Linked DNA regions of Oryctolagus cuniculus. The protein of the gene in region 3 binds, or shares a complex with, the protein of the main gene of each other region. Links are inferred from orthologs where the notes say so. Each region holds a gene or a part of one and is shown on either strand. Other genes may lie near its edges.

Region 1 (8,313 bases), on a different chromosome or scaffold from region 3:
TGGGCTATTTCCTCCTTACTGAGGTATAATTTACATGCAATAAAAATGCATCCTTTGGGGCCAGTGCCCTGGGCTGTGGCTGGGCCAAGCCGAAGCCAGGAGCGAGCAGCTTTACCCAGATCTCTCCCAGAGGTGTAAGGACCCAAGCACTTGGGCTGTCTTCCGCTGCTTTCCCAGGCGCATTCACAGGGGGCTGGATGGAGGTGGAGCAGCTGGGACTTGGCGCCCATAAGGGATGCCAGTGTCACAGGTGGCGGCTTTACCCACTGCACCACAGTGCTGGCCCCTTGCTGTACTTTCATAAACGCGGATTAAGGGGTAACCACAATAGAATATTTGCTTCACCTTCTAGATTCCCTCATTTTTATAGCTGAGGCCCCTGCTCCTCCTCTCCTGGTCAACTGATGTGATGGCCACCTCCCGGGAAGTTTGTGTCTTGGTCACATGACCTCGCCCTAAAAATACCTGCCTCATCTTGCACTTCCCAGAACTACAACCAGCCAGTTCTCCAAGGAGCTCTGTAGCCTTTCAGTGGGCAATGGGATTCCGAGCTCACTGGGACCAACCTTCCTGGTTTGCTGGGGACTGCCCCAGTTTAACCTGACAGTCAGGGATCCCAGGAGGCCCTCTTGGTCTCTGGGGAGCAGGGACAACTGGTCACCATACTAGGTCTAGGTGCTTTCAGAGCCTGGAACTAGGAATCTTACTGTAAAGTCATGCATTCAGGGGCTGGTGTGTGGCACAGTGCGTTAAGCTGCTGCCTGCCGTGCCAGCATCCCATACTGCTGCATTTCCAATCCAGCTCCCTGTAACGCACCCGGAAAAGCAGCAAAAGATGGTCCAAGTGCTTGGGCCCCTGCCACCCACACGGGAGACCTGGAAGAAGCTTCTGGCTCCTGGTTTCCAGCCTGGCTCAGCCACAGCTGTTGCAGCCACTAGGGGAGTGAACCACTGCACGGAAGACGGATCTGTCTCTCTGAGCCCCCCATTCAAATACATCTTTTTAAAAAAATCACGTTCAAACTGGTATTTCCAATGTAAAATTTTTCCCACCCTCTCTGATCTTGTTTCTCATTTTCCATCACACAGAAAACCTTCATACATCATAGCATCAAGTTATTTGCGTTATCCTACAGTAGTTTCAAATGCCAGCCATCAACCCTAGTCCTTCGCAGCCCTGTTCCGCGGAGCGGAGGCCGGCTCTCTCCAGGGGCGTCACCAACTACGGCCTTGCGAAGCCCCAGGGAAATTCTTTCCTCTGTAAATCTTCCTCGTTGCCGACTGGATTTAAAGTTCACTTCTTTCAAATCGCTTTCGACCCGGGGCTTTGCTTCCCTTCTTGATTCATCCTGTAGCTCTGTCGGAGAAGTCCTGCTCCTACTATCTGCCACTTCCTCTGTATGCACCTGCTGCGACCTGGACTCCGCACGAAGCCGCAGCTCGCTCCTCCCTGGGCTGCGGCGGCCCTGACGGAGCCTGCACCGGGACACGGCGGGACCCTTGTGCACCCGCTGCCTCGGGACAGGCAGAAGCAGAAATGCACCGGTTACTCGGCGCTCGGGTCGTTTATCCTAACTTCACGAGTGCGCTCACCGGGAGCGCAGCCGAGCCGCCTCTCCCGAGACCCGGCCCCGGCTTTCCTCCCCGACCCCGGCGCTCCGAGGCCAGGCCGGACATTCTGCAGGGCGAGCTACCGGGCTCCCCGCACCGCCTCGCCCGGGCCGGCTGCCCTGGGGGCCACGCTGGGGTCCAGCAGGCCCAAGGCAGGTCCCCCCGGGGCGCCCCCGGCCCCGCGTCGCGTCTTCCCAGCGGTCCGCAAGGCAGTCTCGCCCACCCGAGTACACTCCACTGACGGAATTCACGCCACCGGGCTCGCCCCATCGTCCACGGCCCGCCCTCCCCTGGCCCCGGGGCCGCCCTCCGCTCGAGAACAATGGCTGCTCGCTTTCGCCGCCGGAGACGCCACGGCAGAACGACCCGCGCGGACACGAGGCCGCCCGTCACGCGCGAGGCGGCACACGGAGGCGGCCGGCCCCGCCCCGCCGGCGCGCGGAAGCACCGCGTCCAATCGCACGCCGCCCTCGCGCAGATCCCTCCGCCCGGCGGCGCCGTCGCCGCAGGCGGCCCACGCGAGCGCGTCCACCGGGGCCGCCTTCCCGGCATGCCCCGCGGCTGACCTCCGACCCCGGCGACCCGCCCCCTCGCCCGACGTCGCCCCTCCACACACACACACACGGCCGGAGCTGGCGGAGCCCCGGCGGCGGCGCTGGTTCCGGGTTGCAGACTCCGCCGCCAGGTCCCGCTCGGGCTAGGCCGGCGGCCGCGCGCTCCTCGCCTCTTCGCCTGTGGCGGGGCCGGGCGGCCGGCGGCGCCTCCACGGTGAGCGGGCCCGACGCGAACATGGCGGAGCGGGGAGGCGGGGCGGAGCGGGGCCGGGCGGCGGGCGGGGCCTGGCGTCCTCCCTCAGCGCCATTTTGTGGCAGCGAGACCCGCAAATAAAGGGGCGCGCGGGGCTGTGACGGGAGGAGGCGCGCGGCGGCGGGGCCTCGGCCTGTGCGACTGGCGGCGGCCGCGCGGCCCCGGCCCGGAGAGGTAGGTGCGGGCGGGCGGCGGGAGAGCGGCCGCGGGGCCCCTGTGGGAGCTGCGGGGCGACGCGGGCCCGGGCCGCGCCGGCCGCCCGTTACCCGCTTCCTCTTCCGCCGCCCCGAGGCCATGTTGCCTCGGCCCGCGGGGCCCGGAGGTCCGGCTGGGGCGGCCCTGCTGGTCTGGGCCCGGCCCGGCGGGGGAGAAGGCGGCGGCGGCGGGGCCCGGTGCGCGGCGCGGGCTCCGTGGGCTTCCATGTCGGGACGAGGGCGCGCGCCCGTCGCCGGGGGTCCTCCACGCCGCTCGCGGACCCCGCGCGCGGCCCAGGCTCCTGCGGGAGGAAGTGGATCCCCAGGGCACTGGGGGAAGTCCTGGCGCGCCGAGGCTGTGACGGGAAAAATAAAAAAACACGGGTCCCTTCCCGGTGGAAAAGCGATCCCGCGTGGGCACGTTCCGGTCGCCTTTCTCGTGTGGCTATTCTGTTCCCTCGGAAGTCACCGCCAATTACGTTCGTTTTTTTGTGTGAAAATTTCGGCCGTGAAATTTTCGGTGCTAGGTGAACGTGGTGTAGACGTATGAAACTCCGCTTACACGGTGTGGGAAAATCTTCTCGCGACGGCTGGATTTTAACTTCATTCATTCCATAGCATCTGATGGGGCAAGTTGGAGGGAGATTGCAGCCCCGCAGGCGGCTGGCGATAAGGGTGCAGTGCTGTCAGGGCTTCCGGTGTCTTGGGCAGACAGCTAAGCCGGCGGCAGAACTGGTGAACTGTCCAAAGAGCCAGATCCCGCAGGATGGAGGTAACAATGGGAGTGGGATCCGGGCACCGCTGGGGTGTCCACAGCTTCCCAGATTCGTGGGTCTTCATTACAGCGAGTTTTCCCAATTCCGCTCTGAGCCATGTTCAAGATGTTTTCGCATATTTGTCACAAATTATCTGGTAGGTACGATATGGAAGATGGGTAGGAGCCCTTTGATAGGCCAGGAGTTGTAACGGTCGCATTTACGACGATTGTTAAAGCTGCTGGGTCTCGTGGGTGTGTGTAGTACAGAGTCTCCTTGGAAATACTGTCTTAGTTTTCGTCTTTACAATGTGCCTACATTGTTTGTGTCTTGTTTGTCAGAGCTATATGTTGATGGATCCTTTAGCAGAGTGGCTTAACTATTTTGGTTCCATTCTTGTTTTTACTTGTTAAATCTTCTCCCACTTTTCTACCTCCAAATATTTTTTATTTGATATAGTTACTAGCTTATTAAGGACAAACTTTTCAATATTCCCGTAATAGGATACTCCATTGGATAGAATAGGCTGTAAAGGTGTTCAGTGCTATGAAGAAGTGTTCACCTGGAAGATGTTGGTGGAGTTTAATTTTTACGAAATGCATGTTAAAGTTGTCCTTTATGTTCATATTTTAAAATCCTTGTTTCTACAGCACTTCATTAAGCTTGCAAAATTGGTACCCCCCTTTTGCTAATTTGGAAACGGTAGCACAGAATTAAGTAACTTGCTGAAGATCACACTTAAGACCAATGCAAGTGTGAGAAATAGGCGGTTCTCGAATTTCTAAGCAGTACTCTTTCTACTCTAGTGTAAAGGTTACTGTGGTATCAGGTGATGGAGTCTTAAATGCAGTTGTGATTTGTTTCTCTAGAGCACACGCCTTCAGAGAAGCACTGAGTTGCCTAATAAAGCATCATGGTGCTACTGGAATGTAGGGTGCTAGGCACCTCCTAAGCCGCTTCTCCTGTGATAAAAGGCATCGAGTAGATGTTGATTCTGATATTTTAACGTTATCTCGGGATGATCTACAAGAATAATTGAAACCTTTACATAATTTAAAAATCAATCATCATCATTTTTTTTTTAAGATTTATTTTATTTACTTGAAAGAGTTACAGAGAGAGGTCTTCCATCCACTGGTTAACTCCCCAGATGGCCGCAATGGCCAGAGCTGCACCGATCAGGAGCCAGGAGCTTCTTCTGGGTTTCCCACGCAGCTGCAGGGACCCAAGGACTTGGGCCATCCTCTGGTGCTATCCCAGGCCATAGCAGAGAGCTGGATCAGAAGAGGAGCAGCCGGGACTAGAACTGGTGCCCACGCCAGCCCCAAAAATCAATCTTAAACTTTGCTTAAAAATAGCCAATATAGCTGCTTTTGAATTTTTTCTCTTTTGCTTTATTAAAAAAAAAAAAAAAAAAAAAACAGATTTTTCCGTCCTCTGGTTCACTCCTCCAAATGCCCACAACAGCCATGGTTGAAGATTTATTTTATTTATTTTTTATTTATTTGAAAGACAGTGTTAGAGAGGTAGAGACAGAGAGGTCTTCCATCCTCTGCTTCACTCCCCATATGGCTGCAACGGCCGGAGCTGTGCCAATCCGAAGCCAGGAGCTTCCTCCCAGTCTCCCACGCAGGTGCAGGGGCCCAAAGACTTGGGCCTTCCTCCACTGCCATCTCAGGCCACAGCAGAGAGCTGGATCAGAAGAGCAGCCGGGACTAGAACCAGCGCCCATATGGGTTGTCAACGCTTCAGGCCAGCGCTTTAACCCACTGCACCACAGTGCCGGCCCCAGTTACCAACTTTTGAGAGACACTGGATTTAGGACCCAAACCTCTAGTTCATTAATAGCTGTTTTACGCTGAGCTGATCACCTAATGAGTCACATTTTCATCTTGGAAAATGGAGACTAGTTTTGACTTTGAAAAGTTGTGATTATTGAATAAATGTGACTCATAGACAGTGAACGTGTATGTGTGGTGTCTGTGTGTATATGCTTTCATTTTTCACCTTCAAGGTTCAGGACTCTGATGATTCCAGATGATGTTATGGGGTGACGTGGCACAGCAGGCTAAGTGATGCTGGCATCCCACTTCCAATTGCTGGTCTAAGTCTCCACTACTCTACTTCCAATCCAGCTTCTTGCTAATGTGCTTGGCAAGGCAGGGGAAGATGGCCCAAGTGCTTGGGCCTCTGCCACCCCTGTGGAAGACCCAAATGGCGTTCCTGGCTCCTGGCATTGACATGGCTCAGCCCCAGCCTTGGCAACCATCTGAGACATGAACCGTTGGATGGAAGATCTCTTTTTCTCTATGTCACACTGCTTTTCAAATGAACAAATCTTTTTTTAAAATGGTGTTTTAGTACTTCTAGTTTTCCTGTGGAAGATTATTCTAAGAATCTTTTTGTGAACCTAGAATCAACTGTAGATGGTGACTGAGCTTGTCAGGTTGTAAAAAATTACCTTGGGGATTAATAGATTTCTTGGTGTGTTTATGCAATGTGAAGGTAAAAATTGAGAACTGAGTTCTGTTCTGAGTAGTTGAATGTTGTATGTTAATTTGTTTTCAACCTCCTAAGCCGTGGTTAAGCCTCTGACTGCAGCACCAGCATCCCAAATGGGCTCCAGTTGTCCCCGCTGCTCCTCTTCAGATTCAGCTCTCTGCTTATAGCCTGGGAAAGCAGTGGAAGATGGCGCAAGTTTTTAGGACTGGCGCTGTGGTGCAGTAGGTTAATCCTCTGCTTGCAGTACCAGCATCCCATAAAGGCTACTCCTCTTCCGATCCAGCTCTTTGTTATGGTCTGGGGGAGCAGTGGCGGATGGTCCAGGCGCTTGGGCCCCTGCACCCTCTTGAGAGACCTGGAAGAAGCTCCTGGCTTCAGATTGGCCCAGCTCTGGCCAGCCGTTGTGGCCATTTAGGGAGTGAACCAGCAGATGGAAGACCTTTCTCTCTGTCTGTCCCTCTCACTATCTGTAACTCTACCTCTCAAAAAAATAAAATCTTACAAGAGTTTTGAACCAGTTCTACTTTGCCTTTGACTGTGAATTTATGTGGCATATCATGAGTGCTTAAGGAAAGATGGACTTTGCATCAGTTACAGATTTTCTGAGGCTCTCGTTTCCTAAGCTGAATACCCCATACATGGAATGAACTGCAGCTCTTTCGAGAGCTGACCTGTGAAAATGCATGCGAATAAAACCTGTATTTACCCCTGACTTAGATTACAACTTCAGAAATTTATTTTGGGGGATTGTGTTTAGCCTAATGACTGAGTCACCCACAATGCATCTTAGAGTGCCTGGGTCTGTTCCCAGCCCTGGTTCTTACTTCCATCCAGTGTCCTGTCATTGCAGACCCTGGAGGCAGCAGGGATGGCTCAGGTAGTTGGGTTCCTGCTGCCTACGTGGGAGAGACCTGGATTGAGTTCCCAGCTCCCAGCTCCAGCCTGTCCTGGCCACTGAGGGCATTGGGGATGGAAGCTTTTGTCTCTCAAATTAAGGAAGAAAGAAAAGTTGATGTCCTCCAAACTCCATTTTAATTCATACTACCCAACATCAAACTTTTGAAAAGGAAAATATAAATCAGTGTTAGAAAACTTAATTATCTTTCAGAATTCTAAAAATTGGAGCACACCAAGGATTCTGTGGTTAGAAACTAAGACAGGAGGACATCATGGTAGTTGTCCTCAGTCTGTGAATTCTCTTAGGGTTATTAAAGAAACTCATTTCTGCGGCCAGTATTGTGTTGCAGGTTAAGCTGCTGCCTGCAATGCTGGCATCTCATATGTGTGCCAGTTGAAGCCCTTGCTGCTCCACTTCCTATCCAGCTCCCTGCTAATGCACCTGGGAAAGCAGTGGAAGATGACTCAAATACTTGGCCCTCTGCCAGCCACATAGAAGACCTGCCTGGAGTTTCAGACTCTTGGCTTCAGCTTGGCCCACTGGCCATTTGGGTAGTGAACCAGCAGTTGGAAGATCTCTCCATCTCTCTCCAACTATGCATTTCAAATAAATAAACTAATTTTTTTCTTTAGGTTAAGAATTTGTTTATTTGAAAGGTAGAGTTACAGAAGCCAGGGCCGAAGCACTTGGGCCACCTGCTGTTGCTTTCCCAGGCCATACCAGAGGGCTGGGTCGGAAGAGGAGCAACAAACCGGTGCCCGTGTGGGATGCTGGAGCCACAGGTGGAGGCTTTAGCCTACTGGGCCACAGCACTAGACCCAACTAAATCCTTTCTTAAACTCTTGATTTATTTCTTCTCTTTCTTTCCTTTTCCTCCATCCCTCCCTCTCCCCTCTCCCTCTCTCCCTCTCTCCCTGTTTCTCATGGAGAAAGAAATTAAATGCCCATTTTTTGCCGGTCACCATACTGAAGTGTGTCTTCAAAATAGAGTAATTTTGGACCATAATGGTGATAGTCTTTTTTGAGACGGTGAAACTGAAGTTCAGAGTTTTCTCCTTTTTACTTTTTTTTTTTCAGTGTGATAGCATTCTAATGATCACTTTTTTTTTTTTTAAGATTTATTTATTTGAAAATCAGAGTTACACAGAGGAGAGGCAGAGAGAGTGCGTGCACACTTCCATCCACTGGTTGACTACCCAATTGGCCACAACAGCCAGTGCTGTGCTGATCCAAAGCCAGGAGCTGGGAGCGTCTTCTGGGTCTCCCACATGGGTGCAGGGGCCCAAGGACTTGGGCCGTCTTCTATTGCTTTCCCAGGCCATAGCAGAGAGCTGGATCAGAAGTGGAGCAGCCAGGGCTTGAACCAGCACCCATATGAGATGCTGGCACTGCAGGCAGCCGCTTTACCTGCTGTGCCATAGCGCTGGCCCATTGCTTTATTTTCAAAGGGTGAAACCTTCTAGAAAACTTCCTTCAAGTGTCTCCCAGTCCTCTAAGTGCCCTTTAAAAATAGATTGCTACCGCTGGCATTGTGGTGTAGCCTGTT
Region 2 (7,574 bases), on a different chromosome or scaffold from region 3:
AACCTTTTGTTTGACAGTGTCATTTTCCTGCCATTACATGTTCTAATTGTAATTAAAAAGTGCTAGTAAAAAACATAGTGAAGAAATCTCTCCTTTACTCCTTGGAGTTTTATAATCGCGTTTGCTTGCCCAATTTAGGAAACGCTATCGAAATGAAGGAAGCCCTAGCCCACGGCAGTCACCTAAGCGCCGGCGTGAACATTCTCCCGATAGTGACACCTACAACAGTGGTGATGATAAAAGTAGGCAGAGTTTCTTTTCCATTTCTCTATATTCATATATTTGTTTGTAACCATGAAACCATACTTCGCCATTAGTTGTAACTCAAGAGTTAAGATTTTCAAAGGTTTTCTTGCTCTGTTGCTTCTAAATATCTCATGTGACTAAAAAATACACATTTTATCTCAGTGTCAGTGTTGTTTCCTGCTATTAATGCTAAAGCTATATTGTTTTCAATTGAAATCGTTGCCACTTAAAAACCTTAAAACGAAGTGAGAGATTGGCTTGTTATGATGTGTACATAACATGCAGTGTTTGTTAACCTGGTGAACATGTGATTACTTTTGTCTTTCTGTCCAGATGAAAAACATAGACTCTTGAGTCAGGTTGTACGACCACAAGAATCGCGTTCTCTCAGTCCATCACACCTCACAGAAGACAGGCAGGGTAGATGGAAAGAAGAGGATCGCAAGCCAGAGAGAAAAGAGAGTTCAAGGCGCTATGAAGAGCAAGAACTCAAAGAGAAAATTTCTTCTGTAGATAAACAGAGAGAACAGATAGAAGTCCTAGAAAGCTCAAGAACACGTTCACAGGACATTATAGGACATCACCAGTCTGAAGATCGAGATATATCTGATCGAGTTCATGATGAAAATAAGAAAAAAGCAAAAATTCAGAAGAAACCTATTAAGAAAAAGAAAGACGATGATGTTGGAATAGAGAGAGGTAACCTAGAGACAGCATCTGAAGATGGTCAAGTATTTTCACCAAAAAAAGGACAGAAGAAGAAAAGTATTGAAAAGAAGCGTAAAAGATCCAAAGGTGATTCTGATATTTCTGATGAAGAAGCCGCCCAGCAAAGTAAGAAGAAAAGAGGCCCACGGACTCCCCCCATAACAGTTAAAGAGGAGTTGGTTGAACTTTCCACTGATAAGGATGGCATTCTAGAGGATCTTCAGAAAAAAGAAGATACAGCTTTCAGTGATTGGTCTGATGAGGATGTGCCTGATCGTACCGAGGTGACAGAAACAGAGCACACGGCTACCACTGTCACTCCTGGTGGTACCCCCTCTCCTCTGTCCTCTCTTCTTCCTCCTCCACCTCCTATGGCTACTGCCGCTGCGATGGCTACTCCTGCTCTTGCCCCCACTGCTACTGCCAACTCCTCCACCACGATTTCCACCTCTGCCAATACCACCAGTACTTTTGCCAATGAGGATTCACATAGAAAATGCCACAGAACACGAGTGGAAAAAGTTGAGGTGTGTCATGTTACTATAGAGGACACCCCACATCGCAAGCCAGTGGATCAGAAGAGGAGTAGCAGCCTTGGGAGCAATCGAAGTAATCGCAGTCATACATCTGGTCGTCTGCGCTCACCATCCAATGACTCTGCCCATCGAAGTGGGGATGACCAAAGTGGTCGAAAGAGAGTACTGCATAGTGGCTCAAGGGACAGAGAAAAAACAAAAAGCCTGGAAATCACAGGAGAGAGAAAATCGAGGATTGATCAGTTAAAGCGTGGAGAGCCCAGTCGAAGTACTTCTTCAGGTAAGAAAACTGAATTATGATCTAGTCAGTATTTCCTATGATAGTCATGTTTTATACAAGTTATAATTTCAAGGTAATGATAAATTGATTATTTTATTTGCTGCCTTGAATTTTACAGAATTAAAAGATTTAGCTGTCCATTAAAATGTTAGTTGGTACCACTTTAATTCCTATATTAAAATAGAAGTATATTCAATGCTATTAATCATTTTAATATCAAGATTTTAGTAGTATATGTTAGTATATGTGTAGTAGTATATGTTAGAGCTTATATATTCAATTCCCTAATCACTGCCCACAATTTTATCCTTCCTGCTATGCCTCCTTTAGCTAATGCTACCTCTTTTGACCATAGAAAATAAAATAAGAGATTAGAGAAATCAAGTAATGAAAATTATCAGTTCTGTTACTGCCTTACCATTTAATGTACTCATTTCTTTGAATATAGCTTGTAACTGTAATGGAAATAGACAAGGAAACATGATATTTTTTAACATATTACTTAGTGCTTTATTTGAGAAAGTTTTTTTTCCTTAAAATTTGACTTCCATATATATATAAATAATATGTAAAATAGAGAAGTACATAGAATATATAGAAAGAATAAAGAATATAGAAAAATGCATAGAATAGACAAGAAAATCAATTATAAGTTTTAAAGAACCCCAAATTAAGTGTTTTGTTCCTGTTTTATCATGTGTTAACTCTTTGTATATGGTATGTTTATTTTTAGATCGCCAAGATTCAAGAAGCCATAGCTCAAGAAGGAGTTCTCCTGAGTCAGATCGACAGGTCCACTCAAGGTCCGGGTCATTTGACAGCAGAGATAGGCTTCAAGATCGAGATCGATATGAGCATGATAGAGAGCGAGAGAGAGAGAGGAGGGACACAAGGCAGAGAGAATGGGACCGGGATGCCGAGAAAGATTGGCCACGGAACAGGGAAAGAGATAGATTGCGGGAACGAGAACGAGAAAGAGACAAAAGGAGAGACTTGGACAGGGAAAGAGAGAGACTAGTTCCTGATTCCATTGAAAGGGATAGGGACAGAGACAGAACTTTTGAGAGTTCTTCTCAAATAGAATCTGTAAAACGCAGTGAAGCAAAACTGGACAATGAACATGAAAGAGATCCAGACGGTAGTTCACGGGACCCTGTAGCTTTGGATAAAGAAAGAATGGATAAAGACCTGGGATCTGTGCAGGGGTTCGAAGATACCAGTAAAGCTGAGAGAACTGAGACTGTCGAAGGTGAGTGCCACACCTTTTTGTGTGTTATGCTGTTCCATTCCTTTTCAAATTTCATGTGAAACAAGTATTTTCTTTTGCTAGGTCATCACTAGTAGATACATTGACTCCATTCTTTTATAGGGGAAGTAAATTTCATGAGAAAAAGGCCTGTAAACATATTTAAAAAAAAAGTGCTTCCTTGAATAATACTATCACAGCAGATTTGCTTCAAATAGCCTAAATAGATTGTTTAGATGCAGTATCTATAGCTGTGAAAGAATAAGCATCACTTACAAAAATTGAACTCACTTATTATTAATGACACCTGTTCAAGCTAGTTGAAGAAAAATATCTGAAAAATAATACTATCTGAAACTGTATTTAATATCAGTTAATTCTAGACCTGTACAGGTTCTCCCTACTCCTAGAGTCAGAACACTGAGACTTCCCAACAACGCTTTGACCCACTCAGAGCCAGCCTTGCTTGTGGAAGCTCTCTTGCCTCTGCTCTCCACCCTTCAACTCCAATCTGGTAGACAAACTGGTACCTGTAATAGCTAAGGGACACTGACTCCAATTAAGAAAGTGCTATTTTACAATGACTAGTTCAGTTATATTCGGGTATACCCCAGGATTGTACTTCTGCTAGAACTAGGGCTCTTGATTTGATTCTATTTATACTCAAAATAGAGATGAAAATGTAATATAAAGTTAGTTGAGGTACAAGTAACAAGATGGCATATTTATTTGATAGGCAGTGTTACAGAGAGACAGGAGCTTCTTCCAAGGTCTCCCACGTGGGTCCAGGGCTCCAAGCACTTGAGCCATCCTATGCTGTGTCCTCATGCACATTAGCAGGAAGCCGAATCAGAAGTGGAGCAGTGGGGACTTGAACTAGGATGCCAATGCCATGAGTGGCAGCTTAACCCACTATGTCATGATGCTTGTCCCAATAAAATAAATCTTTTAGAAAAAGGATTTTACTTTTGGCTCTAGTGCTATCAATATGGCAAATTAAAAAATGATACAATATTACTGCTTATATCCTAAGTATCCCATATTTCATCCCCAATCCATTAAACACAATGATTTACACCTTTTTATTCTCTAGCTCTTCTTTGTACCTGCTCTTCATTGCTTGCAAGATCTTTTCTTTTTTGTTTTTTCTTTTTTACTTAAACTTCTGAGTCCCAGCTTATGCATTATTTTCTCTTTAAAGACTTTTCTGCTAAAGGCACTTGCTTTCAAATTCTCATAGAACCGTGTTTGTATATCTTATCATATCCCCACATTGTATTATTTTCCTGTGAGTTTTTCTCCCCCATACTATGTGCCTTTGTTATGACTGTTGCCTTTTTCATCATTTATTTTCATGACTACATCATAAGGACACAAAAAATGGCTTTTGAGTGAAGATATATTCTGTTTATACATGATGCCCCTCACATCTTAACTCCTTTGTAAATTATGGCCTAAATTAACAAAAACAATAGCTTCCCTGAGAATTCTCCTGGAAATTTTGCTTCTTTGGGACTGTCTAGTCTGGTGTCTAGTACTGACACTGTTTTCCTGACCTAGTTATCTACAATAAGTGTCTGACATGATTATTATTTTTATTTGCAGTGGGCCCATTGATAAAAATCCAATGGTTTTTATACACAGATCCTAACATGTTTTGGTTATGGGATTACATATCTCCATATGCCATCTTGTTACATACTTTTTCTATTTGACTTGACAAAAATTATTGTACTTTGACTTTCTTCACTTTATAATTTCATCTCAATTTTGAGGAAAAATAGCATCAGATCTTGAGCCCTGGTTCTGATGGAAGTACAACCTTGGGCTATAATTGAGTACAATTGAACCAGTCATTGTAGTAGTTCTTTTGTGATTGGAGGCAATGTCCTTTGGCCCTAACATATATCATTTGCTAGTTGTTATTACAGATAATATACCATAGAAATTTATAGTTGAATCATCTGCTGTGTAATGTGAAGATCTTTATTTACTTGAAGTAGGAAAATGAGTGGATATAGTTGAAAATTTAAAATTCCCATATTGTGCATTCATATTTAAATGTATCCTTATATGGCAGTGTTATTAAAATTGATCATCTTAGAGGTGAAATGGTGGGAATATAGGGAAGTTAATGTAGAATTTAGTAGAACAGAAGAGTATTAGAATGATTAGAATTATGTCATTGTTTCATATATTTTATTTGCCCCAAATTCCTGTTGATAAAGCATCTGTTGCAACTTGAAAACTAGTGTTGTAGACTTGGTAAGGTATATGAAAAACTAGTGATTAGAAATACTAAATTTATCTGGTTTTATGATTAAGTTCATGACAAACTCATCTCAGGAGACGAGAAAAACTAATCAAATAATTAGAATTATGCCAAGGGGTGGTATCAGGAATATTTTTGAAATATAATAAATCATTGTTCTGGAAGTTGTATTCATACACTAAAGGAAAACATTGGGAAAAAGCAGAGAAATTCAGGAGGTAGAGAGAATTAATGGCACATTTGTGTTTTTACCTTGCTCCAATAAAATTCTTCATATGACAAGCTAAATCATATGAACTGAGATTTAACTTTCAAAATTTTAGAATAACTTTGTAGACTTTAAAAAAGTTACTCTTATGTTAGGTATAAAACTTATTATAACCTTTTGAAGTTGGGTTTATCTGACTTAAAAGTTTTATTATCCAAACTGAACATAATATACATAGTCAGCTAGTTAGCACTCATGTTAATAGTAGATTTTATTTTTTCTATTTTAATTATAATCTTAAGATCTGTTCTGATATTACTGTTAACATATTTTTGCTATTAAAATTAAATTATTAATTTTTTTTTTGACAGGCAGAGTTAGACAGTGAGAGAGAGAGAGACAGAGAGAAAGGTCTTCCTTCCATTGGTTCACCCCCCAAATCGCCGATCCAAAGCCAAGAGCCAGGTGCTTCCTCCTGGTCTCCCAAGCGGGTACAGGGCCCAAGCACTTGGGCCATCCTCCACTGCCTTCCCGGGCCACAGCAGAGAGCTGGACTGGAATAGGAGCAACCAGGACAGAATCCGGCGCTCCAACTGGGACTAGAACCCAGGGTGCCAGCACTACAGGCAGAGGATTAGCCAAGGGAGCCGCGGCACCGGCCAAATTATTAAATTTCTATTTTTCAGCTTTCTTTTGAAATTATCATCTGTTTGAACAATTAAGAAATAATAGTTTTCTGATGAAAAAATACCTTTCACATTGTTTTAGTGTGTACAGCTTTTACTTATTGACCTAGGCATCCTTTCTTTTTAATGTTCTCTTTGACGTGAAATTAATTTGTCTTTTCAGCTGGAGAAGATGAGTCCAAGTTAGACGATGCACATTCCTTAGGTTCTGGTGCTGGAGAAGGATACGAGCCAATCAGTGATGATGAACTGGATGAAATTCTGGCAGGGGATGCAGAAAAGAGGGAAGATCAACAAGATGAGGAGAAGATGCCAGGTAAGCGTTTGCAGATGTGGTTAGACGTAAAAATTACGTGACTTCTGGTGTTAAAGTATTCTTTCTTCCCTGTCATGCTGTAAAAATCTATTTAACACACTTAACATTTTCTGTTTTTTATTTTAGTTAAGGTTGAAAGGTCAGGAAAATGAAAATTATATACCTGTGCATTTTTTAAAAAAATATTTATTTATTTGAAAGAGAAGGAAATGCTCCATCTACTGGTTAACTCACCAAGTGGCTGCAATGACCGGGGCTGGGCCAGGTCTAAGCCAGGAGCTAAGAGCTTCATCCAAGTCTCCCACATGTGAACAGAGACTCAAGTACTTAGGCTAACTTCTGCTGCTTTCCCAGGCCATTGTAGGAAGCTGGATCGGAAGTGGAGTAGCTGGGACTCGAACTGGTGCTGCAGGTGGCTGTTTAACCTGCTACACCACAGTGCCAGACCCTTAGTAACTAATTCTTAAAGGAGTTTTTTTAAAAAAGATTTATTTATTTTACTTGCTACGTGGAGTTACAGGGTGGCAGAGAGAGAGATCTCCCATTCGCAGGTTCACTTCCCAAATGGCCGTGATGCTTGGAGCTGGGCCAGTCAGAAGCCAAGAGCCAGGAGCTTCTTCCAGGTCTCCCATGTGGGTGTAAGGGCCCAAGCACTTGGGCCATCTTCTGCTGCTTTCCCAGGCACATTAACAGAGAGCTGGATCAGAGTAGAGCAGCCAAGACTTGAACTGGTGCCCACGTGGGATGCTGGCAGTTCAGGCATCAGCTTAGCTCACTCCACTAAAGCGGCGATCCCTCTTAAAGGAATTTTATAATGAATTAGTTGTTTTTAAAAATTTATTTTTGTGTGTGTTATGTGCATTTGTGCACACATGTAAACTAAATAAGCTCCTTGTTTTAATTCCATGAAATAATTCTGATACCAAGTTTTAAAACATCAAACATCTAATCTTAGTGAAATTAGAGAGTTCCTTCACTGGGCATCCTATGTAAATTAGTCATTTGTAGGGATGGATTAGCTTGCCTGTTTTCTTTTGGTAGGATGACTTTGGGGTCCTTAGTCTATAAGTATTAGT
Region 3 (7,574 bases):
TGCACCCACGTGGGGGACCCAGAAAAAGCTCCTGGCTCTTGGCTTTGGATCAGCCCAGCTCTGACTGATACGGCCATCTGGGGAATGAAACAGCAACGGAAGATCTCTCTCTCTCTCTTTGCCTCTGCCTCTGTGTAACTTTATTTTTCAAATAAATCAATAAATCTCTCTCACACATACACATACACACAAAAGGAATCATCCCTCACAACTATTCATAGCTTTGTTATCAACCAAGACTACAAATCTTGGGGTAACTTTAAGCACAGGTTATAAGGAATCTAAGAGGACTATGGCTATTCCAAGCAAGCTTCATTGTATTTCTGAAGTCATTAACAGGGAGCTCTAAATTGAAATAAAAACTCCTACTTTATTTTGGTTCCTTCAAGACATCCCCAGATAGCTATAACTCATTACTTTCTTGAGTCTATGTCATGAGGGTATTGTAACATATACTCAAGACAGAATCAGATTTGAATATACTAAGAGCTTATACTTAAATTTGCTTACTACATGCCTAGATAGATACTCCTAAAAATACACCAGAGGGGTAGATACTATTATCAGCCCTATTTTACAAAGAAGAAACAGCCTATGTCATATAGCTAATAGACAGCAGAAGACAGATTATAAAACCAAGCGTATTTGTTATAAATCAATACCATACTATCTCTAATGTCCCATCAAAAAAATTTAGAATAACAGCATGTGATTTATAATACTACTTGTAATTCTACAATGGCAAGTAGGCTTCATCATTTTAACCAATATGAATTGACAACAGTTACACCCAGGTCTATCTTAAGGAGGCTAATAACAACTCTGGGCTCATAGAGGAAGATTGGCCATGACTACACATTTGATTGCCTGCCTGTTTTAAAACATACTCTGATTTTCGACCCAGCTCATAATGATTATATTACAAACTAAACTGTTTTTAAAAAGATGGGGGCAGCCACTAAGTTGGCAGGTACTAATGCCATCTTACATATTAAAATGATATTCTGTAACTAATCATATAGATAGGATTGTCAAAGGGGTCACATAAATAAGACCAAATGTCTGCTAATAATAATAGATAGAATTAAAAAGAAGAGAATGATCCAATATTGGAATCAGGTCACACAGTGGACTCATAGAATGACAAATGCCCTAAATAACTCTCTCCTCAGAATCAGCCCTTAAGGCATTCAGATCTGGCTGAAAAGCTCCATGAGAACATTTCAGGCATAGAAAGCCAAGACACCGTGGCAAAAAATGATCTACACGAAGGATCTCTGTGAGATCCCAGTGGAAAGAAGGGGCCATCAAAGAAGGAGTACTTTTCTCTGAAAGGAGGAGAGAACTTCCATTTTGCTTATGGCCCTGTCTAAATACTGACAGAGTTTGTGGACTCAAAAGGCTTCCATAGCCTTGGCAGTTCATGACAAGAGCCTCAGGTGATTGCTGACATCATAAATAAGAGTGTCAATTGTTAAATCAACAACAGGAGTCACTGTGCACTTGCTCCCCATGTAGGAACTCTGTCCTTAATGAGCTGTACTATGAGAATGAATGGTAAAACTTGTCTTCAAACAGTACTTTATACTTTTGTGTGTCTGTGTGGGTGCAAACTGTTGAAATTTTTACTTAGAGTTGGTCTTCTGGATATAAAGATAATTAAAAATAAATCTTAATGGGGGCCAGCATTGTGGCACAGTACGTTAGTCCTCCACCTGCGGCGCCAGCATCCCTTATGGGCACCAGTTCTAGTCCTGGCTGCTCCTCTTCCAATCGAGCTCTCTGCTATAGCCTGGGAAAGCAGTGGAAGATGACCCAAATGCTTGGGACCCTGCACCCGCGTAGGAGACCCGAAAGAAGCTCCTGGCTTCGGATCGGCACAGCTCCGGCCGTTGTGGCCATTTGGGGAGTGAACCAACGGAAGGAAGACCTTTCTCTGTCTCTCCCTCTCACTGTCTGTAACTCTACCTCTCAAATGAATAAATAAAATCTTTAAAGTAAATAAATAAATCTTAATGAAGAATGGGATGGGAGAGGGAGTAGGAGGTGGAACGGTTTAGGGGTGGGAAGGCAGCTACAGGGGGAGGAACCACTATATTCCAAAATCTATACCTATTTAATTTATATTTATTAAATAAAAGCTCTCTTTAAAAAAAAAAAAAAAAAAAGATGGGAGTAGGTGTTTGGTCTAGCAAGTAAGATGCCAGTTAAGACAACTGCTTGCAATGCCTACATTCTGTACTGGAGTGCCTGGGTTTGAGTCCTGACTCTGCCCCCAGATACAGCTTCCTGCTAGTGTACACCCTGGAAGGCAGCAGGTGAAGTAGCTGCCCCTGTCATCTACACAGGAGACCTGGACTGAATTCCAAGCTATCAGCTTTGGCCTCAGCCTCAGTCACTGGAGGCATTCTGAAAGGGAACTAGTAGATGGGAGCTCTGTCTCAGAAAGACAGAAAGGAGAAAGAAACGTTTTTATAAAGAAATAATAAAAATTATCTTCTTACCCTGGACACATCTTATCTCCCTTTTTTTCATGTAAAATAGCACAGTCATAACAAAAAACATGCTTGCATGGAATCTGCAAACAAAGACATTATAATTAAGCATACTAGAACAACTTAGATTTTATTTCCACACAAAAGATCAATAAGCATAATCACCTACAGCTAGAAGGCACTGAGCTTTTAAAAAGAACATTTATTAAGTGCTACTTATTCAAAAGTAAAAATTAATCTTTGGCCTCCTTCCTAATAAATGAATACAATGTACACTTGTCTTTGGGAGCAACTTACCCTGTAAGTTTCACCATTGATCCCTATCCTATACGTTAAAAGCTCCTGACAACAACATTATAATCATGTTTAACCTTACCCTATTTCTCCTGAAACTATTCTAAAGAGGTAAAAATAACTAGTATCTCCTATATTTAACTAGCATTTCTTCCTGGCTTAGATTAGTGAACTCAAAAAAATCTAACAATCAGATCACAGTAAAATGATGCAAGAACCACACTGTAAAGCCAACAGCCCATTATTGTTACTTTGCTATGATACAGAGCAAAGCAATAGTGCATAATCCGTGCCCTCTATCATCACAGATATGAGTACAACAGAATCCAATCTTTTTTTCAAACACAAATGCAAAGCTATCTTTTTAGAGCGAGGACATGATAAAGTTACTATAAAATTACAGTTAGGGGTGTAAAAATATTTTTTAATAATCAGAATTCAATTTTTAGAAATTAAAAATATTATTTATGTATTTTATATAAAAAATAGTGAACTTCAGAAATGAATAACTAATGTTATTCTAGTCTGTTAAAAAAAATCAGAGGCCAGGGGCCAGTGCCGTAGCACGGTAGGTTAATCCTCCACGTGCAGCGCCAACATCCCACACGGGCGCCAGTTGGAGTTCTGGCTGCTCCTCTTCCAGTCCAGCTCTCTGCTGTGGCCTGGAAAGGCAGTGGAGGATGGCCCAAGTGCTTGGACCCCTGCACCCGCATGGGGAACCCAGAAGAAGCACCTGGCTCCTGGCTTCAGATTGGCACAGCTCCAGCCATTGCGGGAACCAACGGAAGGAAGACCTTTCTGTCTCCCTCTCACTGTCTGTAACCCTACCTCTCAAATAAATAAATAAAATTAAAAAAAAAAAATTGGAGGCCAGAGCTGTGACACAACAGGCTAAGCCTCCACCTGCAGTGCCAGCATCCCATACGGGCACCAGTTTGTGTCCTGGCTGCTCCTCTTCCAATCCAGCTCTCTGCTATGGCCTGGGAAAGCAGCAGCAGAAGGCCGAAGTGCTTGGGCCCCTGCACCCACGTGGGAGAACCAGAAGATGCTCCTGGCTCCTGGCTTCAGATTGTTCCAGCTCCAGCTGTTTTGGTCACTGGGGGAGTGAACCAGCAGATGAGGATTTTTCTGTCTCTCCCTCTCTTTCAAATTAATAAATAAAATCTTAAAAAAAATCTTTCCTTAAAAAAGTATAATAAATATAAACTGGTGTCACGCATACCAAGTACTTCTCTTAGCTAGTTCATATTTATTTAAATTAAAATGTCACAAACTCAGTCATTAGATAATGATTAACTGTATCTACTTAATACATTTCAGAATTCTACCTGGACACAAATGCACGCATTTACAAACAGTATTTAATTTAATTATGCTTACCATTCGTCCATAGATTTTAATAGGTAATCCACACTTGTCACAGAAGTGAACTGGTGTATCATCCTTTTCACCTAAGATGTTTATCTGTTGAAATGACATAATTAAATTCCCTTAATCCTAAAAACTGCATCTATAACACAATGCTAAACACTCTATCAATAGTAAATGGTTGGTACTTTATAAAAGTTGTTAAAAACAACTAGAAATAAAGGTTTCTTGGTATAATCCCCACATATTCACCAGCATTAGCTGTGCCACCGTTAGTTTACATTTTTAAATAGTTAAGAGTTATCAATCACATTTGACCTCACTGAAAATGATTTCAAATTATTTTTGGGAATAGTCAAAGTAGGGCACTCATTATAAACAAATGATGTTTGTGTTAAAAGTCATAACATTAACAAAAGCTTGTAAAAGATACCCCTTATATATTCTACACTGTTCTAATACCACATTTTAAGTACTTAATACCAATTTTATTGGTCTAATGAAAGTTTTCGTTTTTAATCGTACCTGAAAGTCCCAAAAAAGGTGTCCAGGAAACCTTCGCTGATTTCCAAACAGTTCACCCCCTTTACAGTCATACCGTTCCTCTTCATTATAATCAAATCCTTCTGAGAAAACAAAATGTTACTCATTAACTTCAAACCTCAAATTTCATTTGAGAAGTATACACACAGGACAAAGTAGGCCTATTCACTGGAAAGCCCACCTGATGACTTTCAAAGCTCCTCTAAGAACAAAATAATGAAGACTAGTTTAAAATATCAACTAGAAGTAAAACTGGTGATTACCTGACCAACTCTAATACTTCATAATTGAGACTATTACAGTATGGAGATCCACAATAATGTAACATATTAAGGTCAGCAGCAGGACCAGGAACAGATCTCAGATCTCTTGACACCTATTCAAGTGCTTCTATCAATTCAACAGACTATCTTTAGTCTAAAACCTCAAGATTACCATTATCATCATTTGTTGCACAAAATTTTAATGACATTGACCATCACTTATTCTAATCTATCTACAAATATGGTATGCTGCAAGAGACTGATTTTATTGTAAAAATAATGAAAACAAAGAATTCTGCGGATTTTCTTATTACTTAGTAAATTATACTTTCCCTTCACCTCTAATCTGAGCATGATTTTGGAACATCAACAAATTCATTCTTCACCCTTTCATTTTAAAACTTCTTCCTGGTTAATCCCCAATCAGCAGGAGCCATATGATATTTACAAGTATCCTGTCCTACACTGCATATATCAACATTAATAAACTTAAGACCAGTTGAAGATCAAGTTGGCTCAATTTCTCTGGTCTCATTAAAAAGTTGGTGGCAATTTTCTCATTTTACACAAAAGAACAGAAAACCGGTGAACAGTCTGATGAGAATTCTAGGTAGAATCCAATTACCTAAAGTAAAGCTGAGAAGACAAATATATCTCTCCAAGGTGCCAGGCTTGTCACGACTCTTTTGGCCCTAGAACTGGTAAACAGAGTAGCCAAAGCACACAGCTTCAACTTTACCCACATGGCTAACTTACAGTACCTGTGCAGGTAGATAGACACACACACACAGACAATAGTGATGCAAGAATTTTTTGAAGTTGATAAGAGATATTCCAATATACTGCTATTTAACTACTTCCAATATAGATGTACAGTTCAAAGTAAAGTTGATCTTATAAATTACACCTGAGTGTACCTACAGTCTTATATGGCCCATTCCTTATCAAAGGTGGTGTCATCCACAATTCAAAGTAAGAAAAATTGTCAATTCTTCAAATGCAGAAAATTATGGAGATCAACAGCCAAATAAATGAAGAGCACATTATAATTTTTCAGAGTAGTTCAACCTGTATTCTTCTCATTAAACTAAATATCCATAGAGATGTACTAACACCCAAAACTCCATATTTTGATCAATCCCTAGGGAAAAAAATAATTTTCTTTTACTCCAAACAGGTTAAGTCTAAAGTATTCAATGATTGTCTTCAGCCTCAAGTTGCTCTATTAAGAGAGAAAGGAGTAAGAGTAGTTCCCTCTAAAAAAAAGCCATGACCCTGAGAAGAGGAGGAAAACAACTTAGAGAAAAGAGGTAGCAGGGAGAATTTTTAGCTTTTCCTGCATTACAAGAATGTACTTGTACATCACTATAAGTTCATGAAAATACTTTGAAAGACCAGAAAACAGACTTTAATACTTTTAGAACTTTAATATACAATAATGGTGGGTTTTCTATGCAGCAAGGAAAAGATTATTCAATGATTGGGACAATGACAAGCTGTTTTGGAGGAAAAAACAGAAAGCCAGATCCCACTTTTGGCTTTTTTAAATAACCACATACGTATTCTTAAAAGATCCAAAGCAGAGGTCAGCAAATTCTTCTGTAAAAAGCCAGGCAATAAATCCTCTCAGCTCTGTGAGCCACATGGTCCATAACCACAAACACTCAGCTCTACCACTACTGTATGAGAGCAGCCACAGACAATACTGAAATGAATGGGCATGGCTGTTTTGCAATAAAACTTTATAAAAACAGGACCAGATTTGCCCCACAGGTCATAGTTTGTACTGACAGATGAGAGGAAAACCAGTTTATATGCACAGAATAGGGGAAGGCCTTTCTAAAACTGTCATAAATCCAGGAAGTCATAACAACAAACACTGGATATCTGACTGCATAGAATGTTTAACCTCTCTACAATAAAAAATTTATAGACAAAATTCAAAAGGCAAATGGGGAATATACACAATATATTAAAAAGGGTCAATTTCATTAATTTAAAAAGAACTCAAAAATCAAGAGAAACAGCCAAACAGAAAAATGGGGAAAGGATATGAACAGAAAGATCCTAAGCAAAAGACCAATATTATGAAAAGATACTCAACCTCAACCATGATTAGAGAATTGTAAATCAAAATCAAAATGTTTAAAGGTTAATAGTACCCAAAACTGGTGTGGAGAAGTATAAACAAATATACCTTTTTTGAAGAATAATTACAAAGTTTTTAAAAGTCTATGGTGTGGCCACTGTGATGCAGGAGGGGGTTAAACTGCTGCTTGTGTCACCCACACAGGTTTGTGTCTCTGGCTCCTCTGCTTCTGATATATCTTCCTGTTAATGCATCTGGGAAAATGGCAGATGATGCCCCAAGTACTTGGGTCTCTGCTACCACTTGGGAGACCCCAGATGGAGGTCCCAGCTTCTGGCCTGACCCAGCCCTAGCTACTGCACACTTCTGGGGAGTGAATAAGCAGATAGAATACATTTACCTCTCACTCCCACACTCTGCCTTTCAAATAAATAAATAAATGTCCAAATTTGTACAAAGTGCAAATTCTACACAAAGATATTTGCTCCAACGTTCTTAGAACTCCAGAAAAATTTTTAAATA
Region 4 (8,369 bases), on a different chromosome or scaffold from region 3:
TCATAACAAGTTGCTTAGCCAGCTGTGCCCCAATCCTTGCCCTCACCAAGCCCTGTAACAAGGGCACCTAACCTCATTCAGGAAGGATTGAGGATAAACTTTGAACATTACTTTTTGTAGAGGACAAAAACATTCCAACCATAGCAGAGATTGTGGAGGTCATTCTCATAAAATGCAGTTGGACATATACGTTCAGAGGAGTCATTGTCAAGGAGCTAGGGAGAAATGTATCCATTGTAATGTGGATCTCTTTTTACCTTTCTAATATAAGTGCATGTAAGTTAAACTGCTTCTTCAAAGAAGAATCATGTGGGAACTTCCTCAATTTATTCTCTTTCCTCCTACTATGACACAGACTCTCTGGTGGCTCTGATGTTGCCATGATGAAAATATATTAGTGGTAGGCACATATACTACTCTACTGTGCTCTGGTGTTTTAAAATCTCACTGGTGGAGAGATAGGTTTTAGAATTATATTCCCATTTTTGTAAAAACTGCAAAAACTTTCTGAAGGATTCCAGTGGCTTTGTAAATACTGTAAGGTAGTACACATCTGCATCTTTAATCAGTCAGATTCCCATGTGGGAAAACAGAAATCATTCAAAGTATTTTAACCAGACACCAGTTACTACAGAGAAATGGTTACACAGATAATGGGGGTAGAAGAGCAAAAGGGGAAAGTGAAATTAAAATAGAAACTCCTAACTGCAAGTGGCTACCAGTCTTAAAGCTGGTATACATAAGAGAGAAGGTTGTATTGTCAGCTCAAAAGCAAGGCCACTACTACGATGCCACATTGGGGGTTTGAGGAAAGGAGCAACAGCTTTAACTGACTGTGGGCTTTGTACAGGACATAGCCATTCCCTTGGATGCCAGAGCAAAGTAAAAGTAAAGAAAAACAATACTTTCCATTGTTCCACCTTCTGATTTCCTCCCTGTTCCTCCTGTAGGCACAATCTTACTGGAAGTCATCTGTCAGGGAAAGGTGTGAAATGTATGTAGCTTGCAGACACCCAGCCCAACCATCATCTTGCAGCAGCTGTAGGTGAAGTACTGGAATGAAAGACCACAGTCAATTAACTGAAATAGTACCTTTCCAGGAAAAAAAAAATTTCCTTACACAATATACCTCCATAAAGAAAAGCTGAATTATTTAATCTTTGATTTCTGCTAGGATCTAAGCTCTAACATAGTGCTTGTCATATAAAATGTTCAATAGCAGTAAAGATTTGTGTAAACAAATGTCCATTACCATCATTGCTGAATAGTTTAAACCAGTTTACTACTCAAATAATTAGCAGGTAAGACGTCCAACTGATTTTTGGGTATTTATTTTTCTTTGAAACACAGATACACAGATGCCCACAAATTTCCAGATGTCCACAACAGACAGGGCTGGGTCGGGCTGAAGTCAGCTTCTCAGAACTCCATCCAGATCCCCTACCTGGCTGACAGGGACTCCACTACTTGAGTCATCATAGCTGCCTGCCAGGGTGCACATTAGGAGAAAGCTGAAATCAGAAGGGAAGCTGGGATTCCAAATCAAGCACACTGATGTATGATGCAGATGTCCCAGGTAGAGTCTTAACTGCTATGCCAGAGGCCAAAGTGCCACCAATCTGTAAAGAAACATACATTAACTCATATTTTCAAAAATGTGTTATGGCATATGCTCCCTGGAAATTAATTTTTTAAAAATATTGCTACCATTACTCAAGAAATTTTTTAGAACACCTCTTTTAAAATTTTCTTTCAAAACCAGATCAGGGGGCCAGTGCTACAGCACAGTAGGCTAATCCTCCACCTGCAGCACTGGCATCCCATATGGGTGCTGGTTCTAGTCCTGGCTACTTCTCTTCCAAGCCAGCTCCCTGTTACGACGTGGGAAAGCAGTAGAAGATGGCCTAAGTGTTTGGGCCCCTGCACCCGTGTGGGAGACCAGGAAGAAGCTCCTGGCTCCTGGTTTCAGATCGACCCTGCTCCAGCCATTGCAGTCGTTTGGGGAGTGAACCAGTGGATGGAAGACCTTTCTCTTTCTCTTTCCCTCAAACTGTAACTCTATCTCTCAAATAAACAAATAAAATCTTAAAAAAAAATGAGATCATGAGGTATATATAACACACATCATGCCAGATGCCATTTATTCTTTCAATTTTCACAACTCTGTGAGTAGGTACTCTTATTACTCCTATTTTACCAAAAACCAACCAACCAACAAACAAAAAACCCTATGGCTCAGGAGGTAGTTGACTAGCCAAGGTCACTCAGGTAGTGAGAGGCCAGGCTTCAATTCTGGGCAAGCTGAGTTTGTGCTTGCAGTTAAAAATGAGTCCTGGGGGGCAGGCATTGTGGTCCAGCAAGTTAAGGCATCGCTTCTGAAGCCAGCATCCCGAATGAGCACTAGCATGCCAGCTACTCCACTTCTGATTCAGCTCCCTGCTAACAGGCTTGGGAAAGCAGTGGAAGATGGATGAAGTGCTTGACGCCCTGTCACCCACGTGAGAGACCCTAATGGAGTTCCGGGCTCCTGCTTTGCAGCCATTTGGGAGTGAGCAGATGGGTGGAAAATATTTGTTTCTATAATTCTGCCTTTTAAACGATTAAATACATCTTAAGGAGAAAAAGGGTGGGGGGACATCTGTCAAGCTTTAAAACATCACGGGTGTCAACTAGGGAATTAATGGAAAAGCCAATCAATATTTCAGAACAGTATTTTAAACCATACTGATGACCTACCAAAGAGAGAGAAGTGAAAAACGATTGTCGATGGTCCCATGGCGGACCACCAAAGAGCATTTCTGGGCGGCGCTCAGAGGCCAAAAGGCTTGAGACCCCTCTAGCGCAGCAACGCCTCTCATTGGGTCCTTTCCAGGTGGCGTCAAGTTGCAGGCGTCCGATAGGAGGCGGGACTTCCGGATCTGGGCGCGCCAATTCCGGTCGCGCCGGAAATCCAAGCAGAGGAAAGCCTTGCTGGTGTGCAGTCGCAGGAGGTACTTCCTTGTAAAGTTTGCTCCAGTGATTCGCGAGATTGGACAGGGGTTCATTCAAGAGTGGCGAGTATTCGGGTGGTGAAAGACGGAACATGGATAGCCGCTTGCAGGAGATCCGAGAGCGGCAGAAGTTACGGCGACGGCTCCTTGCACAACAGGTCAGCAGCCAGGGGTGGCCCAGGTGGGGAGGGATCTCAAATGCGCCTGCGCGACCGCACTGTCGTTCTCCTGCCTTTCTCTGTCCTTGCTTCCTAATTCTGTCAGCGCCTTCCTGATCCCGCGACCCTGAGCCCTGGGCCTCTGGTCTTGTTCTCATTTCCCGTCGTGACCTGAACTTTCTTCCAGTTCCTGCCGCGGTCGTTGTGGTGCCACATTGAATGCTATGAGTAGGCCGGCGACGCGGCTCACTAGGCTAATCCTCCGCCTGCGGCGCCGGCACACCGGGTTCTAGTCCCGGTCGGGGCGCCGGATTCTGTCCCGGTCGCCCCTCTTCCAGGCCAGCTCTCTGCCACAGCCTCCGCGGGGAAGCAAGCCGGACAACAGAGCCGGCGGAATCGGGGGCGTCCTCGGACGCGAGTGGGTCAAGCCCCGGCGGCTCACCCGCACACACCCCCAGGGACGGGACGGGGCGCGGCAGAGGCGGCGGAGGAGGGGCCCGGAGGCTCCCGCCCCACAGACACACACCCCCAGCAGACGGAGCGGACCCCAAACGACGGCGGGCACGCGAGGGCGAGCCCGAGCCAGCGGGGGAAGGGACGGGCACCAGCGGGTCGTTCACGTCGTGACCGCACCTCGTCCAAGCGCGCCCCGACGGGGCAAGGCTCGAGGATGGCCCAAATGCTTGGGCCCTGCACCCGCGTGGGAGACCAGGAGGAAGCACCTGGCTCCTGGCTTTGGATCAGCGCGGTGAGCCGGTCGCGGCGGCCATTGGAGGGTGAACCAACGGCAAAGGAAGACCTTTCTCTCTCTCTCTCTCTCCCTGTCCACTCTGCCTGACAAGAAAAAGAAAAAAAGAAGAATGCTGTGATTACTCTTCAGCAGCCTCTAAGGAACGCATGCCAAGTGTCTGGCTAGGGCCTCCACGAGGAGGATACAAAGCTTTGGTATATAAGTAAATTACTGCAGTTCGTGGAAGGAGAAGCGACGTGTCCCCTAGATTTCCTTTCAGTATTCAGATGGTGTTCTGTGTCTTGTTATTTCTCGTAGTCAGCATCAATTCTTGAAATGTGGCTTCGTTGTTAACAGTGCTTTCTTTGGGATCAATCAATTTTAGAGCCTGCATCTTATCTTATGTATACACAATGTTCTGATCATTCACAGCGACCCCTTGAAATGAATGTTATTATTTATTTCTTCAAGAGTGAAATAGGGTTTAGAGGTTAAGTACTTTTAGCCCTGGTCACTCACGTCTCCACCAGGATACTGAACCTATGTTCCTCTCAGCAAAGCTTGTCTTGAGTATGAGTTAATTAACGTTTGCTGATTAGAGTACACATGTATAAAATACAGATTGCCCCCCATCTGCTTAAAGTCAGGGCTTTGTTTTCCATTCTTCCATTCAGATCAGTACATGTGATGAGGGAAATGATCATAGGCTTTAATGAGGCATCTTTGCCGTTAGTTTTCATAAATAATTTAGTACTAGTAAATGCATACCTGAAACCTGTCCTCTTTCATGATCTGATGAACAGATTTGTGGTATACTGTTGAAGTTGTGGGAATTCGGAATCAGATCTGTCCTTTGTCTCTCAGGCATTTCACTATTGGACAATCCAGGTATCCTTTTGAAGTCTTTTTACCAACTTCTTTTATCATGTTATTTTAAAAAACATTTGTTGCCACCGCATAAGGTGCTTCACTCACACATTCTAAACTTTAATCTTTGACTTAAAACACATTCATGTAATGATTTTTTAGCTTTACACTAAAAAAAAAATCAGAGACTCTAGTAGGTATTGACAAATGAATTATGAGTGAGTACACATAAACCTTAACAAGACTACAAGTATATTCCAGAAGGAAATCATTTAGTTACGAAGTAAATAACGAAAATCAGAACTTCAAATGTTATGGTCTTAAATATTAGACCAGATTTAGTAGCTCCACATCTAAGGTTTTTTCTACCTGCCCCTCTTCAGTGCAGGGATGGTTGGCTGCTCAACACACTCCTCCTCCCCCTTTTCCTTTCTTTAAACTGTGTACAGTGAAAATTGTCTTTACTGTATTTTTGTTCTCTGGTAATGTAATAAGCATGATGGTGCCTTCTATTAATACATCATTCCAGTCTGGCTGGTAGTTTTGTACAGTATAGTGTATGAATTGCTGTGCTGCAAAGCCAAACAGCTGCGAAATGTTGAAAAATCATTGAAGTATATAAAAATTGCAGTATCTTTAAAATCAGTAAAATGGACTAGCATATTATTTATCTTGTTTTTCAGTTAACAACTTTGCTCTCTGTGGGAGGGAGTCTTGTGTGTTTGGGAGGGAGGGAGGAGGAAGTCAATTATTTGAGTAAGTCTATAGTTGACGTTTCTCTTAGCTTCAATGTGACCGTTGAAATCACTTGAATGCTTAGAAAAGTCTGTCAGTTTGATGTACTTTTAGTGGCATTTTAAAAGTGGTTAGATTCCATAAATGGCAAGTACACCTGAAGTGAGGATACTGCAATTTTCGGGGGGAAAGAACAGCAGCTCTTAAGTGTTTGCATTTTCTATTTTGGGGGCAGGGAACTGTCATTCATTTTGCACAATTTCTTGAACTGATGTCAGCACCCGAATGGCTCCTGAATTTAAGTCTGGGATGACATCTTTTATTTTTACATGAATCTCTAAACAATTCTGTGAGCAAAGTTTGTAGCTGCTGGAGTATTGTCTGTCTGTATGGGAAGTTCCAGTAAACCACAGCTATGGCAAAGGTTATCCAATGTTATGCTTGGAGCAATCAGTACATATCATTTTCTGATGTTTCAGGCAAGAAGTGGGGTAAATAATTGTGACCACTTAAAGCTGCTTGTTAGCATGGAAGACTTCTCCATTCTATCTTAGTAAAAAAACAAACAGAAAAATGCACTTGACATAGTAACAAATTGCTTCTGAATTATGCAACTGCTTGCTATTTAGTAAACTAGCAAATGATGAACAGGTTTTGTTTTACATATACTGGGCAATATGAGTAAAATTCTGTCCTTTTTTTTCCCCTTTGAATGAGGTCGTCCATGTTGGAGGAAAAGACTTGCACTATTGCATTTATTTTAGGGACACAGATTTTCATAGTTTCCATTTTGGGGGAGCTTAAGATTTTTTTATTTGTTGATTTAACAGTTTTACATTTTCTGGTGTATAGTACTTGAAGTTCTTAACCAGAAAATTACGTTGAAGTTTTGACGCCTTTATTCAAACTTCTTTTAAATAAGTGGCCATTTTTTGTCAGTGTTGGGTCTCTCTCCCCCAACCATCCCTTCCTCCACCAACCATATTTTTCCTCTACTATTTTTTCCTCCTCATTTTACATATATGTATATATACATGCACACAGATGTGGGTGTATATATATGTATAGTGTGTGTGAGTGTGTGTATGTGTGTGTGTGTGTAATTTCCAGTCCAAAATATTGCCCTGTCCCCCGTGAAAACTGTTTTGGCACCAAAAGTGATGACCCTCAATGAGCTTACTAAGTGCATAAAATTTAATAATGACTGTCATTTATTAAATCCTTTCTTCAAACCTACAAATTAGATTATGGAAGCTTAGAGATGAGCAAGGTCACAGAGCTGGTAGTTTGCAAATTACAATTGTAATTTAGGCCTTTCCATGCTCGTTCTGGTATACTAGCTATCTCCCGGTCTTCCAGTTGGATGCAAACCAAGAAGAATGCCCCGTGAAACGGTAGTTTGAGTGATTCACTTGCCTTTCTCTGTGTGAACATGACAGACTTGTTTATTACTCTCTGGGATAGGATTTATGTAGTATACACCTTATGGTTTTTCAAAGTTGCCTTCCTTTCTGAATTTCATCTATCTTCATGGTGCAACCCAGAACTTAGTGATGAAATTTATCTTAATCTCTTAGGCTTATGTACTTCCTATAAGCTTAATTTTCCTTACCATTGATCCTTCCACTACTTTTATATAACTGTCATATATCATATAACGAGTTTGAGTGCAAAGTCTTTGCATTTGATTCCTGTTGGATTAATCTACCTTAGCATTGCTTCTTGCACAAAGTAGACTTTTAATAAACATTTGTTAATTGACAAGATACCAGAGTAGAGCACAACTCAAAGTGTGTGATTTGCCTAGTTTGCTTTTGTCTTTTGGGTGAGAAAGTTGGGTGCAGTAACTCCCAGACAATGATGTTGGCAGTTGAACTACTGCTTGACTAGCAATTTTTACCTCCATTTAAAAAAAAAAAGAAAAAGAAAAAGAAGAGGAAGAAATTTATCTGTCTATTAGAAAGGCAAAATAACAGAGAAAGGGAGACAGACGTCTTTTATCTCCCATAACAGTCAGGGCTGAGGCTTGTAGGCAGCCTTTGGACAAATCAAGGCCAGTCTTGGCTTGTGGAGTTCTTGGGATAAGAAAAAATGCAACACATGTTCATTACCAACCCCCTATCATTTGGAGGGTTCCAATGGATTCATTGGTTATTAAGTTGGCTGGACCACTATTGCTTTTCCTCCTTTGTATGGGATGTTTTCCGTGTGTTTTACAACTTATGTTAACTTTGCTACAGTCTATATGGACTGAGATCCATCATTTAAAACTTCATACTAAACTTCCTTTGTAATCAAAGTAAGTGATATTTGGCCTAATCTTATCCATTTTTAACTCTCTCCCAATGCCTAGCTGGAATGGTCCTCAAAGACGGGTAAGACACTCAGCATCCTCTACCAACCTAAGACAAGGCTCTAGGCCAAGCTGCCAGAGTTACCAATGACGGGTAAGGGCAGAAGTAACTGAAGGCAACCTAAGACAGAGGTGATTCTCAACAAAATAAAAAAGGGGGAGGTGTAGGCAGCCTTTGGACAAATCAAGGCCAGTCTTGGCTTGTGGAGTTCTTGGGATAAGAAAGTCACATACTCCCATCCTGAAGGAGGGTGTTAATCAAGAACACTCTGTTAAAATTACCTGTGCTACTGGAGGCCCCAATAAGTTGCATGCATATGTTGTTATCTTTTGTACTTCTTTGTGCTTCTTTGATCTACAGCTGGTTATGTATAAATACCACCGAGACATTAGAATAAACGAGCATTGATCAGCCTTGTTGTCTTGGCTCCAATTCTCTGTGCTCTTGTCCCTCTTTTCATTCCCACTCCCTCCTTCAGGTTCCATTCGACTGGTGTGGCTGGCCTGCACAGAGGCTGAGGCCAGGAGCCTGGAAC

The links.
Region 1: CBLL1 (region 3) and WTAP share a complex: the UniProt entries of both Homo sapiens proteins name them as parts of the WMM complex. The link is inferred for Oryctolagus cuniculus from reciprocal best matches to the Homo sapiens genes CBLL1 and WTAP.
Region 2: CBLL1 (region 3) and ZC3H13 share a complex: the UniProt entries of both Homo sapiens proteins name them as parts of the WMM complex. The link is inferred for Oryctolagus cuniculus from reciprocal best matches to the Homo sapiens genes CBLL1 and ZC3H13.
Region 4: CBLL1 (region 3) and METTL14 share a complex: the UniProt entries of both Homo sapiens proteins name them as parts of the WMM complex. The link is inferred for Oryctolagus cuniculus from reciprocal best matches to the Homo sapiens genes CBLL1 and METTL14.

What each region holds. Positions count from the first base shown.
Region 1 is NC_091436.1:8,319,283-8,327,595, reverse strand, and holds the start of WTAP (pre-mRNA-splicing regulator WTAP), read left to right. Parts: upstream 1-2,975; 5' UTR 2,976-3,236; coding exon 3,237-3,384; intron 3,385-8,313. UniProt on the Homo sapiens protein: Associated component of the WMM complex, a complex that mediates N6-methyladenosine (m6A) methylation of RNAs, a modification that plays a role in the efficiency of mRNA splicing and RNA processing.
Region 2 is NC_091440.1:65,036,885-65,044,458, reverse strand, and holds part of ZC3H13 (zinc finger CCCH domain-containing protein 13), read left to right. Parts: intron 1-138; coding exon 139-242; intron 243-579; coding exon 580-1,770; intron 1,771-2,503; coding exon 2,504-3,019; intron 3,020-6,345; coding exon 6,346-6,498; intron 6,499-7,574. UniProt on the Homo sapiens protein: Associated component of the WMM complex, a complex that mediates N6-methyladenosine (m6A) methylation of RNAs, a modification that plays a role in the efficiency of mRNA splicing and RNA processing.
Region 3 is NC_091434.1:136,456,354-136,463,927, forward strand, and holds part of CBLL1 (E3 ubiquitin-protein ligase Hakai), read right to left. Parts: intron 4,784-7,574; coding exon 4,683-4,783; intron 4,254-4,682; coding exon 4,170-4,253; intron 2,579-4,169; coding exon 2,505-2,578; intron 1-2,504. UniProt on the Homo sapiens protein: E3 ubiquitin-protein ligase that mediates ubiquitination of several tyrosine-phosphorylated Src substrates, including CDH1, CTTN and DOK1. Targets CDH1 for endocytosis and degradation.
Region 4 is NC_091439.1:46,511,150-46,519,518, reverse strand, and holds the start of METTL14 (N6-adenosine-methyltransferase non-catalytic subunit), read left to right. Parts: upstream 1-2,923; 5' UTR 2,924-3,082; coding exon 3,083-3,148; intron 3,149-8,369. UniProt on the Homo sapiens protein: The METTL3-METTL14 heterodimer forms a N6-methyltransferase complex that methylates adenosine residues at the N(6) position of some mRNAs and regulates the circadian clock, differentiation of embryonic stem cells and cortical neurogenesis.